Xenopus tropicalis: one gene and its partners. The protein of the gene in region 1 purifies or fractionates together with the protein of each later gene. This does not show direct contact. Links are inferred from orthologs where the notes say so. Each region holds a gene or a part of one and is shown on either strand. Other genes may lie near its edges.

The links. Proteins that work in one complex are often made in the same cells at the same time.
Region 2: the proteins of sae1 (region 1) and sumo2 purify together in Homo sapiens (affinity purification with mass spectrometry; 3 studies listed by BioGRID and IntAct, with this or other methods). This does not show direct contact. The link is inferred for Xenopus tropicalis from reciprocal best matches to the Homo sapiens genes SAE1 and SUMO2.
Region 3: the proteins of sae1 (region 1) and sumo3 purify together in Homo sapiens (affinity purification with mass spectrometry; 3 studies listed by BioGRID and IntAct, with this or other methods). This does not show direct contact. The link is inferred for Xenopus tropicalis from reciprocal best matches to the Homo sapiens genes SAE1 and SUMO3.

Annotation. Positions count from the first base shown.
Region 1 is NC_030684.2:77,092,630-77,097,747, reverse strand, and holds the start of sae1 (SUMO-activating enzyme subunit 1), read left to right. Parts: upstream 1-1,943; 5' UTR 1,944-1,947; coding exon 1,948-2,039; intron 2,040-3,450; coding exon 3,451-3,562; intron 3,563-5,118. UniProt on the Homo sapiens protein: The heterodimer acts as an E1 ligase for SUMO1, SUMO2, SUMO3, and probably SUMO4. It mediates ATP-dependent activation of SUMO proteins followed by formation of a thioester bond between a SUMO protein and a conserved active site cysteine residue on UBA2/SAE2.
Region 2 is NC_030686.2:44,410,723-44,415,725, forward strand, and holds the start of sumo2 (small ubiquitin-related modifier 2 precursor), read left to right. Parts: upstream 1-1,678; 5' UTR 1,679-1,688; coding exon 1,689-1,709; intron 1,710-2,419; exon of another isoform or gene 2,420-2,656; intron 2,657-3,003; exon of another isoform or gene 3,004-3,861; intron 3,862-4,463; coding exon 4,464-4,595; intron 4,596-4,678; coding exon 4,679-4,750; intron 4,751-5,003. UniProt on the Homo sapiens protein: Ubiquitin-like protein that can be covalently attached to proteins as a monomer or as a lysine-linked polymer.
Region 3 is NC_030685.2:55,089,181-55,094,301, forward strand, and holds the start of sumo3 (small ubiquitin-related modifier 3), read left to right. Parts: upstream 1-1,796; 5' UTR 1,797-1,818; coding exon 1,819-1,839; intron 1,840-5,121. UniProt on the Homo sapiens protein: Ubiquitin-like protein which can be covalently attached to target lysines either as a monomer or as a lysine-linked polymer. Does not seem to be involved in protein degradation and may function as an antagonist of ubiquitin in the degradation process.

The DNA of each region.
Region 1 (5,118 bases):
TCCCTTTAGTTGTCCACGGCCGTGTAAGGAACTGGAAATATGGCTCCACTGCACTCTGAAAGTACTACACCAGGCATAACCATTTTTTAAAGAGGTGCACTATCCTATGGTGAAAGGTTAGAAACTTTTAATATGGGGGATGCCTAAATATTTGGCACATCCTGATAATTTTGACTCTTGATCTTTAACTATTATTCTGTGTACTTTCATTAGTAGTAAGAGGTACCCATCACAGTTGGGTATGTATTCAAAGCAAAATGGGTCTCATTTATAAAAACTGGAGTAACTTCCAATTTAGCAATCCCAGCTATTTCAGTATTTTTTTTATTTGTGCCTTTTACCTTTTTTTGTAATTCACTCTGTCTGGGGGCTTAAAATTCATCACTTTAAGGGTCTAAAAAACCCATATATGCACATATGTATGTATGTTTTTTTGTACTTATGCTCTGCTTATGACCCTTATCTTTTTTCTGTTTATATTTTTTTTTAAAGTTTTTTTATTTTGTTTCTGTTTATATTTTTAACTGGTTTTATAGTGCAACAGATAACTGCATCTGAAATCTGTGGACAAAAACATCAAAGTACCACAGATTTAAGATCTGCAGCATCCTAAGCAATGAGTGGAGGGGGACACAAGTAGCCCCTTGGGAATCACTCAACCCAGAGGTCCCTGACAACAGCAAATGCAAAATATTCTACATCTCAAATACTTTGATAATCCATATTAAAAGAACAGTAACACCAAAAAAATGTATTTATTTTAAAGGAATTAGACTATAATGCTGCCCTGCACTGGTAAAAGTTTTGTGTTTGCTTCAGAAACATTACTAGAGTTTATATAAACCCTGGTGTGTAGCCATGGGGGCAGCCATTCAAAAGAAGAATAGGCACAGCTTATATAGCAGCTAACAGATAAACCCTGTAGAATACAATGGTGTCTTATCTGTTATCTGCTATGTAACCTGTTCCTTTTCTCCAGCTTGAATGGCTGCCCCCATGGCTACACAGCAGCTTATTTATATAAACTATAGTAGTGTTCCTGAAGCAAATACCCCAGTTTTACCATTGCAGGGCCACAGTACGTTATGTTTCCAATACTTTAAAACACTTTCATTTTTTGGTGTTACTGTTCCTTTAATCATGAACATACTAAAGACAGAATTGATTAATGCACATTATGTGGCCCTGTTCTATGAATAATTTAGGCTGTGCAAGTGCACATTTTGGTTACAAGGTTCTGATTATAAAATTGCCAGGCCACCATACCACTTCAAGGTGAATTCCATATGGTGGTCCCAAATTTTTACCTCTAGTCCAGTGGTTCTCAACCTGGGGGTCAAACAACCCTTTCACAGGGGTCACCTATTTCATCATCACAACATGAAGAACTGTATTAAAGGGAAGGTTGAGAATCACTGCACTAGTCATACTTTTCATAGGCCAGCACCACTATACATGGATCCATTTATTGTAAAAAAAAATCTCCTGACCAAAGCATTGATCCCACAGGCTGATCCTCCCCTGCTGTGGCTTTTATTGGTGAGAGATCTCCAAGGCCAACACCCATTTAAAAAAAAAAAAAAAAAAAAAAAACACAAAGGAACACTTCAGTATTTGTATGCGCGATATATGCACCCTTTTACTGTACAGCACTATAGACTATTGCGGCTTTACAATTTAGTGTTGGTAAACTAAAAAATACCCCAACAGAATGACTTCAACACAGAGAGCACAGAGCACACTGACAGCGCCAAGAGCAAAAACATCACTACCCTCGGAAGTAAAATGCTTCAACTCCAGGCCGGAAAAGGAGGGCGCTTAATGGTCACGTGTCAGTCCGTCCTTAGATGACGCTTTAGGTTCTTCCCCTTTTTCTCCTCGCTTTCACTTCGGTCTCCATTCATTCGGTGTGGGAACAACCGGCTTTTGTAGGGAGAGATTAGCAGAATGGTGGAGAAGGAGGAGGCAGTGATCAGTGAGGAAGAGGCGGCGCAGTATGACCGGCAGATCCGCTTGTGGGGGCTGGAGGCACAGAAGAGGTAATGATGATGATAATACATTAGGGGAGGCCTGGCGCGGACAGCCATTTGTTTAATGAAAACAAGCATAACATTTAGAGCATGGGATGGCATGTTGGCTATCTGTATCTAGCATTGTTATGCCTATTACCATTGGGGAGAACGGCTTCCCACCCTTTTCAACGTTTGACACCTGTGTTTTACACTCGCTGAGCCTCGCAGCACATATTATGTTAATCACATAGACTTTCTGCTTACGTTCTAATGTGGAGAACATATAGACATGCAGAAGTTTTGATTTTGTGTAATACAAGGTAAGGCTCAATACCTGGGGGGGTGAGTTGGTGTGCACAAAAAAAAGAGAAGAGCCCAACATATATAGTACAGGGGAAAGCTGCCTGATATGCGTGAGGTTGCCACTTGGCCATTAGAAATGGTGCATGATGCCAGTATTATTACAAGGGAAAAAAGTAAGTATCTAGCCTGGAGTGCAGCACACGTGGATTAAGAACTGTCTGGCATGGACAGTATAGGGAGTATTGAGCACCATGGCATGTGCAGAGAGCAAATTTGCTTATAATTCACTATGCACTGGGAAGTTGAAGATCTGGTATTAGATATTGCCATGTACAAGAATCAGTTCTAGCTACTAGGCACAATCTTATTTTCTTTAACAAAGGGCGACACAATGTTTGTCACCATAATCTGGCCATTAATAGATGAGAGTAGGCTTGACAGTGATACCATTAAATGCAGATGTTTTCTTAAGCTAAATACACCAACTTTTAAACTTATATTGACTACTTCAATCAGGGATCCCCAACCTTTCTTGCTCGTGAGCCGCAGTCAAATGTAAAAAGACTTGGAGAGCAACACAAGCATCATAAGTTCATGGAGGTGCCAAATAAGGGCTAAGATTGGCTATTAGGCAGCCTCTATGCACGCTGTCAGCTTACAGGGGGCTTTATTTGGTAGGAAATCCTGTTTCTATTCAACCAAAACTTGCCACCAAGTCAGGAATTTAAAAATAACTACCTGGTTTGGGGGCACTGAGCAACATCCAAGGGGTTGGTGAGCAACTGGTTGGGGATCACTGACTTAAATGCACAGTTTACCATGACAAAACCTGTTCTCAAACAGTGTACCACAAATTTGGTTTTTTTTTTTCTAATTGCTTAAAATGTATTTTTTTTCAGTTTTTATAAAATGTCAGTTTTAGAGTAATAGTTGTGCTTACCCTCACACCATTTCTTAGTATGAGTTTAGTAAACCAGTTTATTGATTAACACAGCAACTTGATGCATTCTGTAAGTGGATGCACTGACTCCTTATGAGTTAAGGGGCCTAAACAAGGGTTTAAGCCTAAAAACAACTGCATTTAAGGGGTTGAATAGCTATCATATAGTATGTGTGTTTCCAATTCTTTTTCTAGGCTGCGCACTTCCAGAGTTCTCTTGGTGGGCATGCGAGGACTTGGGGCTGAAGTTGCCAAAAACTTAATCTTGGCTGGAGTGAAGGCATTAACATTGCTGGACCATGAGCAGGTTAGGACATTATTTAAACCATTTTCAAAGCTACAATAATGTTTTTGCTTATTTAAAGAGGACATTAAGCTATATTATCATCATACTCACTAATGGATGCATTAAATTAATACATATATATACCAAACAAGGCATTAAGAAACAAACCCTGGTTGCTGAACTAAACAGCAAGACAGATATATGATTATCACATTGTCCTTGGCCCCTGGAGAGATCTTGACCCAGAGGCCACCCTTTCCCCAGCTTTCTTTGTTGCCTAGGGTCAGGGGAAAGTCACAAGTACTGAATGAGCTTTATAAACTGATTTAATGCTTGCACACCTGGAAATTCTAAAGATCTGTGGCAAAGGGATTAAGCATAACTTTTAGATACATGGAAAAAAAATGTAGGGATAAAATCTAGCATTTGTATTGCACTACTCTTCTTTCTAACTGCTTGCAGAATGAAATGGCTGGTAATGTTCCTCATAGATTACACCTGGTAATATCTTGATTTTGTAATAATTTAGCTCGGATATAATTTGCCCAGATATAGGATTAAAGACACAGTGCACAGTGCCTCTGTTAAAACCTTGATTTAGATTTTTAGAGCTCCTATTTCACATTTGCTAGCATGCAAATGATGTCTTGTGCATATTCAAATCAGTAGAATGCCCTTGCCCATCTGCCTTGTCCGCAACATTGCAGCCCAGTCAAAATGTATATGAAGTAGATCGCCATTGAATCCAAGAGTCCAGTTTGGTATTAAAGATGGCAGTGAGGTTAGAAAAAATAAAATAAAAACAAGAAAACCATCAGGTACCTTTGCTACATGCTACTAGATTTGCAAGCGTATGTGAGAATCAAACCTAGGAATGCAGAACTTAAAAACCTTTTTATGGAGCATCTACTCTTGATTTACTGGTGCTGTCCATTAATGTTAATACATCCTAAAGATAATGCCACACACAGCATTTTCACTGCAGCTGTACTCAGGCCCAGTGTCTGCCAATAGCCAGCCTGACTGCCTTTCTAAAGGGTCCATTCTGACCAATGAGCAGCATTTCTACACTAATGAGCAAATACCACTTTGGATTCCTTAAAGGGGCAATGTCAACAACATGAGTTTGATAAAACAGGAATTGTGCTTAACAGAACGTTTTCCTATTTTAGTTTAAACAAGACCCTGTTTGGTCTTTGCTAGGTAGCTAATTAGATTACCATATTCCCCTGCATAATGAACCTCCTTGTTTACTGGTAATATGCAGAGAAACAGTGTCACTGCACAGAATGGCTCAAGAAGAACACTGTTGTTGTTTAGTTTTTTTTTTAATATTGCTTCTACTATTGTATTTTCTTTGTTTTTAGTTGTAAAGCGAGATAAAAGTATAAAGTCCTTAGTTGGATATAGGCTATGCAGCCACTAGAGGGCATTCCTGCTAGAGATTTCTTACGAGCATGTATAGGATCAGACTTGCGTCTTCAACCTATTCCCGTACATTTAACATCAGCAACATTAAATCAAACCTTGGGCTTTTCTGTTAAGACATCAGAGCATTATCAAGTTTTAGTTTTTAA
Region 2 (5,003 bases), on another chromosome or scaffold:
ACCCCTGACAGGCCTACCCAACTGATATCTGGCCTAAAATTGACCAGAACTTGATCCAGCAGGTTTGATTTTCCCATCAAATCGGGGACAGCATTGCCTCATTGATTCCGATTGCCCATATACCCGCCGGTTTAATTTGTAGGGGGGCATATCAGGAGTCACGATCCGCACATTTGGCAACCCTGCCATATGGCCACCTTTAGGATGGGTGTTGGGTGCAGACTGCACTAACATAGAGAGTAGACCAACTTTGAACCACATGGTGTTTTCTTTTGTTTCAAGTTATGTTTGGATCAGAAGAATGGCTGCTGATCTCATATAATACTTATGACTCATTTATTTTGATATGCAATTTACTCTCCCCTTTATTTAAAATATTTGCTGTGGTTTCTCCCTTTTGCTTGTGACATTTGTATTGTCATCCCTTTGTTGTTTACAGATCTCCACCTTACAAGCAAACTCCAAATGAAAGAAAATAAATGCCCTTATAACCATGTCCCAATATGCACTGCTTGTACCCTAGGCAATTTTGGGTGGGTTTTAGGCCTTTTCATTTTTGGGGGGGTAACTATGAGGAGCAGAAGGCTGTCAGTGTTATTAACAGTAAATAGGGAAGAAAGACAGTAAATCCCAGTGTTGGAATGAGGTGTGTGGGGTCCACCACCTCAACAGACGGTTTTTCTCCTATCGTTCCGCTCGTCCAGTCCCACCCTGGGAAATGGCTGTATTTTATGTCCCTAAAAGGGCAGCCACCTTCCATGATTTTTATGTTTTGTCTGGAAACTTTGGATATGGTTTGGATATGATTTTTATGTTTTGTCTGGTAACTTTGGATATGGTTTGGATATGATTTTTATGTTTTGTCTGGTAACTTTGGATATGGTTTGGATATGATTTTTATGTTTTGTCTGGTAACTTTGGATATGGTTTGGATATGATTTTTATGTTTTGTCTGGTAGCTTTGGATATGGTTAGCTTCTCTATGTTTTTGGTATGTATAACTTTATTTATAAAGCGCCACAAGGATACGCAGCACTGTACAATCTTACAATATACACAATTACCCACAGGTAGGGCAAGTGTTATAATAAATTTCAATAAATAAGTATAAATACACAGGGAGTAAGTGCCATGGGGTATGAGACACAGTAGGAAGGAGGTCCCTGCCCCGTAGAGCTTACAATCTAAGTGGTTGGGTAACATACAGGCACAAACTGGAAGGTAAGAGGCACCAGGTATGGGCATTTGCCCTTAAGTGCAGGACTGATCAAAATAAAGTTTTAGTGAAAAGGTAACTGGTATGGCAACTGGTATGGCTTCCTCCTTTGGCTTAATTATAGGGGGGGCTGTTTCTGGAAGCTTCTATCATGGCTCCTGCCCCCTCTATGAGACTAGGCCAATGAAGTCACTGGAAGGGATTTAGCCAATCCCGGGTACAATGCGGCCCAACCTCACCCTGACTCTCCTCAGAGTCAGACCCCTCCCCCCATGCGCGCCCCCGCCGCCACGTGCTCCCCAAGGCGGGCTTTTCCCTACAGTGGAAATAGCGGCGGGGGCGCGCACGCAGAGAGTGCGCCAAATCTTCCTTTCCGTACGTGCGCGCTCTCGTTCCACGTCCCGCGCCAGTTCAGGCTCTTTGTGAGGAGGAGGCAGCAGCGAGAGTACCGGGCACCGGGAGCGAACTGACAATGGCGGACGATAAGCCCAAGGTCCTGCTCCGGGCTGGGAGAGGGAAGGGTCGCATAGCGGGCTTGGGGCCGGGGGCAGTGGGTGCGGGGCAGGAGGAGGGAGAGGCCTAGGCGCTAAAGGGAGGGGGCAGCGGCCTGCGGGCTGTGCGGGGGCTCTGTGGGTACGGGAGGGGCCCGTAGGGAGACAGCCGGGAGAGGGACGCCCATACTAGCGGGGCTTGGTTATGGGAGGCTGCACTGCATTGGCCCACTAGGTTTATGGGGAAGGGAGCACAGGAACCAGGGAGCACTGGGGAAGGGAGCACTGGGGAAGGGAGCACTGGGGAAGGGAGCACTGGGGAAGGGAGCACAGGGGAAGGGAGCACTGGGGAAGGGAGCACAGGGGAAGGGAGCACTGGGGAAGGGAGCACAGGAACCAGGGAGCACTGGGGAAGGGAGCACTGGGGAAGGGAGCACAGGGGAAGGGAGCACAGGGGAAGGGAGCACAGGGGAAGGGAGCACAGGGGAAGGGAGCACAGGGGAAGGGAGCACAGGGGAAGGGAGCACAGGGGAAGGGAGCACAGGGGAAGGGAGCACTGGGGAAGGGAGCACTGGGGAAGGGAGCACTGGGGAAGGGAGCACTGGGGAAGGGAGCACTGGGGAAGGGAGCACTGGGGAAGGGAGCACTGGGGAAGGGAGCACTGGGGAAGGGAGCACTGGGGAAGGGAGCACTGGGGAAGGGAGCACAGGAACCAGGGAGCACAGGAACCAGGGAGCACTGGGGAAGGGAGCACAGGAGCCAGGGAGCACTGGGGAAGGGAGGACAGGAACCAGGGAGCACTGGGGAAGGGTATGTTGGGCACTGCCAGTATTGGGAGATGGGAAGTAAATGGGAATGGGCGACCTTGGCTATACTGGGAATAGGGATATTAGGGGGGCCTGAGCCCAGGTATGTTGTGGGGGAATATACTGGGGCTGGGAATTGGGAGGTTAGGGGGCCCTGAGCCCAGGTATGTTGGGGGGGGAATATACTGGGCCTGGGAATTGGCAGTTTAGGGGGCTCTGAGCCTAGGTATGTTGGGGACATATACTGGGGCTGGGAATAGGGAGGTTAGGGGGCCCTGAGCCCAGGTATGTTGGGGGGGAATATACTGGGGCTGGGAATTGGCAGCTTAGAGGGCCCTGAGCCCAGGTATGTTGGGGGCATATACTGGGAATTGGGAGCTTAGGGGGCCCTGAGCCCAGGTATGTTGGGGGCATATACTGGGGCTGTGAATTGGGAGCTTAGGGGGCCCTGAGCCCAGGTATGTTGGGGGCATATACTGGGAATTGGGAGCTTAGGGGGCCCTGAGCCCAGGTATGTTGGGGGCATATACTGGGAATTGGGAGCTTAGGGGGCCCTGAGCCCAGGTATGTTGGGGGCATATACTGGGAATTGGGAGCTTAGGGGGCCCTGAGCCCAGGTATGTTGGGGGCATATACTGGGGCTGTGAATTGGGAGCTTAGGGGGCCCTGAGCCCAGGTATGTTGGGGGCATATACTGGGGCTGTGAATTGGGAGCTTAGGGGGCCCTGAGCCCAGGTATGTTGGGGGCATATACTGGGGCTGGGAATTGGGAGCTTAGGGGGCCCTGAGCCCAGGTATGTTGGGGGCATATACTGGGGCTGGGAATTGGGAGCTTAGGGGGCCCTGAGCCCAGGTATGTTGGGGGCATTGACTTTAGGGAATGAGGTAACTTGGGGAGAGAGGAATTCAAGAATGTTGAGTGGGAAAAGATGTAGCCTCTGGCCAGTGAGAAGGGCAAGTATTATGGGAGAGCTTAATGGTGGGAAAATGGGTATGCAGGGCTCAGTGCCATTAAATAGAGTTAATACTGGCCAGAAGCCTAGGTTATGTTGGGGGCATTCCATGCAGAGTAAGGGGCATAAGGGTGAAGACACACTGAGCTACTAGCAGCAACTAATTTTTTACAGCTACAAAACACCAGAAAATCCCCTGCCTTAGACAGTATGGAGCGTTGCGAAAACAGAGAATTATCAGTAACTGATTGGCATTGAATATTTTAGTAGCTGTGACAAGTAGCTGCTACTACTGTGTGTCTTCGACCTAAGGAAGGAGAATTCTTAGTATGGAAGGAATTTTAGAATTGAGGAAGTAGTGTAGGTAATGGAGGAACACGTGTTAGAAGCAGGAAGGGTAAGGTGCATTAGGCACAGTGGAAAGAAAGTTCTGAGAACTTTTAAACTTGTATTAAGTCTTTAGATTCAGGGTCTGTGACACTGTGAAGCAGTACCATGTTATTCTGCATACTGGCCCTCAATGTGATATTGCTCTCTTAATCACTGGGACCTGTTAATTGGGGACCTAGAGACACAGGCAAGCGTACTGTAAGGCTAATATATACGATGAGGTTAGGGGCTAGACCAGCTTTTGTGAGTGTAGTTGTAAGTTAAATGCCTGTGCAGTCAGTAAACATTCCAGAACTGTAGCTCCCAGCAGTGACTGTTGTTCTAAAGGGAACATTTGGTGTATTTTGTGTAATGACATGCAGCCTTATAACTTCTGTGCTCCCCATCTTTCTTCTTGTGCGTTGTGAACACATTACCAAATGTAGCATGGTCCCCGGCCAGATCTAATATAACTAGAGTTCTTTTGTCATTTGGTGCCAAAGTATTCTCTAGAATGGGGTGCAAAGAGCTCATTTCTCACAACGGGATGAATAACCACAAGCGTTACCAGTGTTTCTGTGCCATGATGCCCCTTCCCAGCACTCATTCCACTTTTTACTTCTTTTAGGAAGGTGTTAAGACCGAGAACAACGACCACATCAACCTGAAAGTGGCTGGCCAGGATGGCTCAGTGGTGCAATTCAAGATCAAGCGGCACACACCGCTCAACAAACTGATGAAGGCATATTGTGAGCGTCAGGTAACCAGATCAGATTTGGGTACAGAAATACTGGGTATAAGCCTGGCAATACAGTTTTACTTATCATATATTTTCTCCTCCAGGGTTTGTCAATGAGGCAGATCAGATTCCGGTTTGATGGGCAGCCAATCAATGAAACGGACACGCCAGCACAGGTGAGATGAACATATACAGTGACAAGCAGCCCCTAAAACCGGCTAGATCTGGCCACTAACAATATTACATCGCTAATGTATATTAAAAAAATTGTATATAGATATTTTTAATTTTGGTTTTATTTTTTGCATGTTTGCTACCTATCACTTAGTTGTTGCCAAGTAAAATGTGTTTTTCTTTAACCGTTAATTGCTCAAGCCAATAGGAGTAACCCATGGCTCTTCTTGTTTTATGCTTATGAAAGCTAAAACC
Region 3 (5,121 bases), on another chromosome or scaffold:
GTGTCACAATTTATTGGGCTGGTGGGGACTCTCTGTACTAGAAATGCCAGCACCTATTTTGTATTCCAGTCTGGTCCTGCTCCTGTTCAAGTATTATTTCCCTATATATAGGGGCTGATTCATCAAAGTACGTGTTCGAATCCCGAAATGGGTAAAATTCGGATTAGATACGATAATTTCTGATGATAGAAAATGTCACGAAAAATGCTTACGTAAAAATCGTAATAGTCACAATAATATCGTATTGCCAATCCGAAAGTCACCAAATTTTAGTATCCGAAGGATCGTAAACGATGGGAAAACCTTTCTGACTTTGATCCTTCTGTGCATGTTTTTTTGAAGCCTCCCATAAGACTCAATGGCACTCTGCAGCTCCAACCTGGCCCAAGGAAAGTCTCCCATAGGGCTCAATGGCACTCTGCAGCTCCAACCTGGCCCAAGGAAAGTCTCCCATTGGGCTCAATGGCACTCTGCAGCTCCAACCCGGCCCAAGGAAAGTCTCCCATAGGGCTCAATGGCACTCTGCAGCTCCAACCTGGCCCAAGGAAAGTCTCCCATAGGGCTCAATGGCACTCTGCAGCTCCAACCCGGCCCAAGGGAAGTCTCCCATAGGGCTCAATGGCACTCTGCAGCTCCAACCTGGCCCAAGGAAAGCCTCCCATAGGGCTCAATGGCACTCTGCAGCTCCAACCTGGCCCAAGGAAAGTCACGATACTGAAGCTGATGAATCCGAAACATTCATACTTGTTGCGACAAATACGATTTTGTTGTGCAAATTGTCAAAGTATGAAAAAGTTGTGCATATTAATAAAAAAGTCGCAAAAAAACGCACAGTAAGAAAACTTAGAAAAAATATGAATTATTTGTATTCGGAAACAATTGTACTTTGATAAATGTGCCCCATAGTGTTGATGGGGCCACTTTATCTACCTGTATGTTCTTATTATTAGAGGAAAGTGGAGTATCTGGAGAAAACCCACTGAGAGAAGTTACAAACTGAGCAAGATGACTGGAATCAAACCTAGGACTAGGGTTTTCACATTTACTGGATTTAAAATACTTCCCATACTTTTATCTTTGAGCCCTACTGATAACATTGGAATCAAGCATAATTTTCATGAGTCAGCTGTCAACCCTACATAGGTTTCCAGCGGCATTTGGATCACTAATACACTAAACTTGCAATGTTGCATTACCATGTGAAAATGTGCACCCTGAACGCTTGGCTACTGTCTTTATTGACATGAAAGTTGCACCAAGTGGTGCATGCAGTCATCTCTTTGCTATAATGACCCAATGATAACACTTCTGGCACTGCATGCAATTGTGAGAGGAAATGCTGCTCCACACAGTCCCGCAGTTCCAGTCACAGAGCTTCATTCTGTCCATGTTCTGGGAGAGTCACGTGTTTCACACCCAGGAGCCTGGGCTGAAGGTTACACGTTATACAGCGCACAAGCGCTTATTTATTGAAGGGGTGGGAAACTAATTGCAATACTATGTCCCCTTTCTCTGCATCTTCCTTCTTGTTACATTGCGCTCAGCTTCCCTCCCTTCCCCCACACTAGTGTCTGAGCGCGCTCCCGTCACCAACTCACCGCGTTAATGGAATAGTTGGAACTGGGCGGGGTTGCGCGTAGGGGGATGGGAACCATGGTCGCGCGCATCGTGAACGCGCATTAAGGTCACGTGACCCCCCTTTCGCCTATCGCACCGCGTTATAATGTTGGGGGTGAAGCGCGCCCCCGCGAATAAGCGTTAGAGAGGAAAAAACCTTCACAGACAGAAAAAGAGCGGGAGAGCTAGAAAAGGGCAATCATGTCTGAAGAGAAACCCAAGGTAAGCGAGATAGCGGCTTTTCCCTATCGGGGCTAGGGCGGAACGAGCAAGGAAAGGGTCAGTCGGGCCCTACGCGCAGAGGCCGGGCTGTGGGCACGGACATCAGGCAGAGACATTGGAGCCGGGCTGGTGTAAGCGTGCTGGCCTCTCCGGGGATGCCTGCTGCCTGGGCTCACTTAATAACGCCTCTCAAGAGTACGATTGCTTCTTGTTTTAGAAATACAGTACGTGGGCCTGTCGCTTTGGCTTGTGGTACCGACCCAAAGGGCAGGCCCGGTGCGTTATACCGTCATGTTGGTGTGACTGACACGGTGCTCCGTCCGGCGCTGAGCTGCCGCCATGTTGGGCCGAGCTGCGAGTTGGTTGCAAATCCCATGGCCCAGGGGACACACGTGTTACAGTGCGGCTCCATTTCCTCATGTCTCCCCGTGTGTCTCTGTACTGCCCACAGACATTAGCGTTCCCATTATTCCCCTTGGCACCAACCTCACCATATTGTGTGTCCCATTGCTCGGGGGGAGGGAACCTGACAATTGTGTTTCTGCAACTTCCGAAGCCTTGCATTGGGCTGCTAGTGACATACCCTACACAAGTCATATGGGGAAAGCACCAGGATACACCTATACCGATGGAAATACTACCTAATAATACCTTAATAGCATTGTGCGTGCTGCCAGCTAGGTTCATTTGATAAAAACCGCCTTAAAGGAGACCTCATGCGAAATAGAATGTAGCAGCACATTATACTCCTCCCCCAAACCCACTAGCCCCGCCCATCTGTTCCACTTCCTACTGCCTCCTTTCCCAGGCTGTGCAGGGGGGCCTGTAGCACACAGCACTGTAGGGTAGGAACCAATCAGCAGCTAGACTGACCTGATAGGGAACTGAAGCCTGTTGCTTGTGTGAGTGCAGGACTGTGATTGGCTCTCCCCTCTCCTGCTGTGCTTCTGGCGGGGTCCTTTAGGACACTCCCACCCCTCATTTGAAACACAGACAAGGACCTTGGAGGATTTATAGGGAGCACCATTTTTTACAGACAGTATTATGTTTTAGCTCAAAGTAAATCCAGCCCCATATATAATTCATAATTGCCTACAAGATTAGAAGTGTTTTCCTTTATCCAATATGTCTCCTTTAAAATATTCAGTTTGGTATTGCCTTAAAGGAGACATATCCTATAAAAATTAAGAATGTACCAGTGAATTATACTCCTCTAGATATAGAAGGATTGTGCTTAAAAAGTTGTGTTTCAGACTGATTTATTGAGAAATTCCACAAAACCCCACTAGCCCCGCCCATCTGTTCCACTTCCTGCTGGCTGAATTCTCTGGATGAGCTGGGGAGCCGGCGGCCCTCAGTACCCTGCACTGTAGGATAGGAACCAATCAGCAGCTAGGCTGACCTGATAGGGAATTGAAGCCTGTCTTTGCTTGTGTGAGTGCAGGGCTGTGATTGGCTATCCCCCTCCTACTGTGCTTCTGGCAGGGACCGTTAGGACACGCCCACTCTTCATTTCACACACCGACAGAGAAGCAATGGGATCTATAGGGAGCTCCAATAAAGGGGCCATTGTTACAGATAGGATTCATATTTAGCACAAAGGGAAACCAGCACTGTATATTATTCATAATTGCCTACAGGGTTAGGGTTTTCCCATTTATCTAATGTCTCCTTTAACTGTAATCCAGAGTCTCATCTAGAGCTCTTACTTTACATTTTATATCATGTTATTGGAAGCCAGCAGTATTCACACTAGCGACCGACTGGTGGTCCTGACCACTTTGCAGATCGCCACAGTACAATATGGGGTCAAGTAATATGGGCAGACCTGGCAGCTACTAACTGTTCTACTCAGCTCTGTGCTTTTGGAGCTGGTACAGGGAATACAAGTAAGGTGCTGTTGGGGGGGCAGATATCACGGGCAGATAAAATTTTCCATTCCAGACTTGAGAGCTGAAACATTTAAGTGACCCAGAGGCTTAATGGCTGAAGTCAGGCTGTTTTTGTCTCTATGGGTAGTCTATTAAGTCTTTGTAGGAGCAGTGCTGGCGTTGTCACTGTATATACTGCAGTACAAAATGTTCATCTTGGAGTGGTCATGATCAGATACTTACATAGACCTTGATAGATATCCCTGTCTCCTTCCCTGCCCTGCCTGTGTGTGTACGTGCCATATAGCTGTGCTATCCATTTCTTTCACATATGGGTTATGGGTGATATTGCTTCAGTAAACAGTGTGTTTGCCTGCGGTGCCAGTAGGTTTCATTTAGGCCCAGTTGGGTTGGGCACTTGATGGGGGGTACTTTCATTTGTTGTGGGTGAATTAACGCAAACCAGGCAAACTAAAATAGCTTAAGCATGTTCTGCCTCTAATTTTATGTAGTAATTAATATGTATTAGGCAGAGCTGGGAAGGACTTGTAGACCATGTGATTGCTTGTAAGGGCCAGTAATTGTATTGTGGAGCATAGCAGAAGCCACTGTAGGGAATGGCACAGTGGCATGGCAAGGATAAGTGTTTAGAACATGCATGAGCCCAGCAGCTGCTTTTTATTATGGAATAAAGTGGTGACAGTCTCTGGAGGGGATGGCAGTAGTCAATATATGCCCTGATATTTTTTGTTTATGTATATCAGAGGGCTATTAGTTGCTCTGCAAGCATGTGCGGAACCTTGTGTAACACTTTGGGGCACATTCATCAAAGTCCGAATACAAAAAATTAGTATTTTTTTTAAGTTTTAGAACTGTGCGTATTTTTTGCGATTTTTCGTTAATTTACGCAACATTTTTGTACAACTTGCGCGACAAAATCGTATTTGTCCCAACGAGTACAAAAGTTTCGGATTCATTCAAGCTTCAGTATCATGACTTTCCTTGGGCCAGGTTGGAGCTGCAGAGTGCCATTGAGCCCTATGGGAGACTTTCCTTGGGCCGGGTTGGAGCTGCAGAGTGCCATTGAGCCCTATGGGAGACTTTCCTTGGGCCAGGTTGGAGCTGCAGAGTGCCATTGAGCCCTATGGGAGACTTTCCTTGGGCCGGGTTGGAGCTGCAGAGTGCCATTGAGCCCTATGGGAGACTTTCCTTGGGCCAGGTTGGAGCTGCAGAGTGCCATTGAGTCCTATGGGAGACTTTCCTTGGGCCGGGTTGGAGCTGCAGAGTGCCATTGAGCCCTATGGGAGACTTTCCTTGGGCCAGGTTGGAGCTGCAGAGTGCCATTGAGCCCTATGGGAGACTTTCCTTGGGCCAGGTTGGAGCTGCAGAGTGCCATTGAGCCCTATGGGAG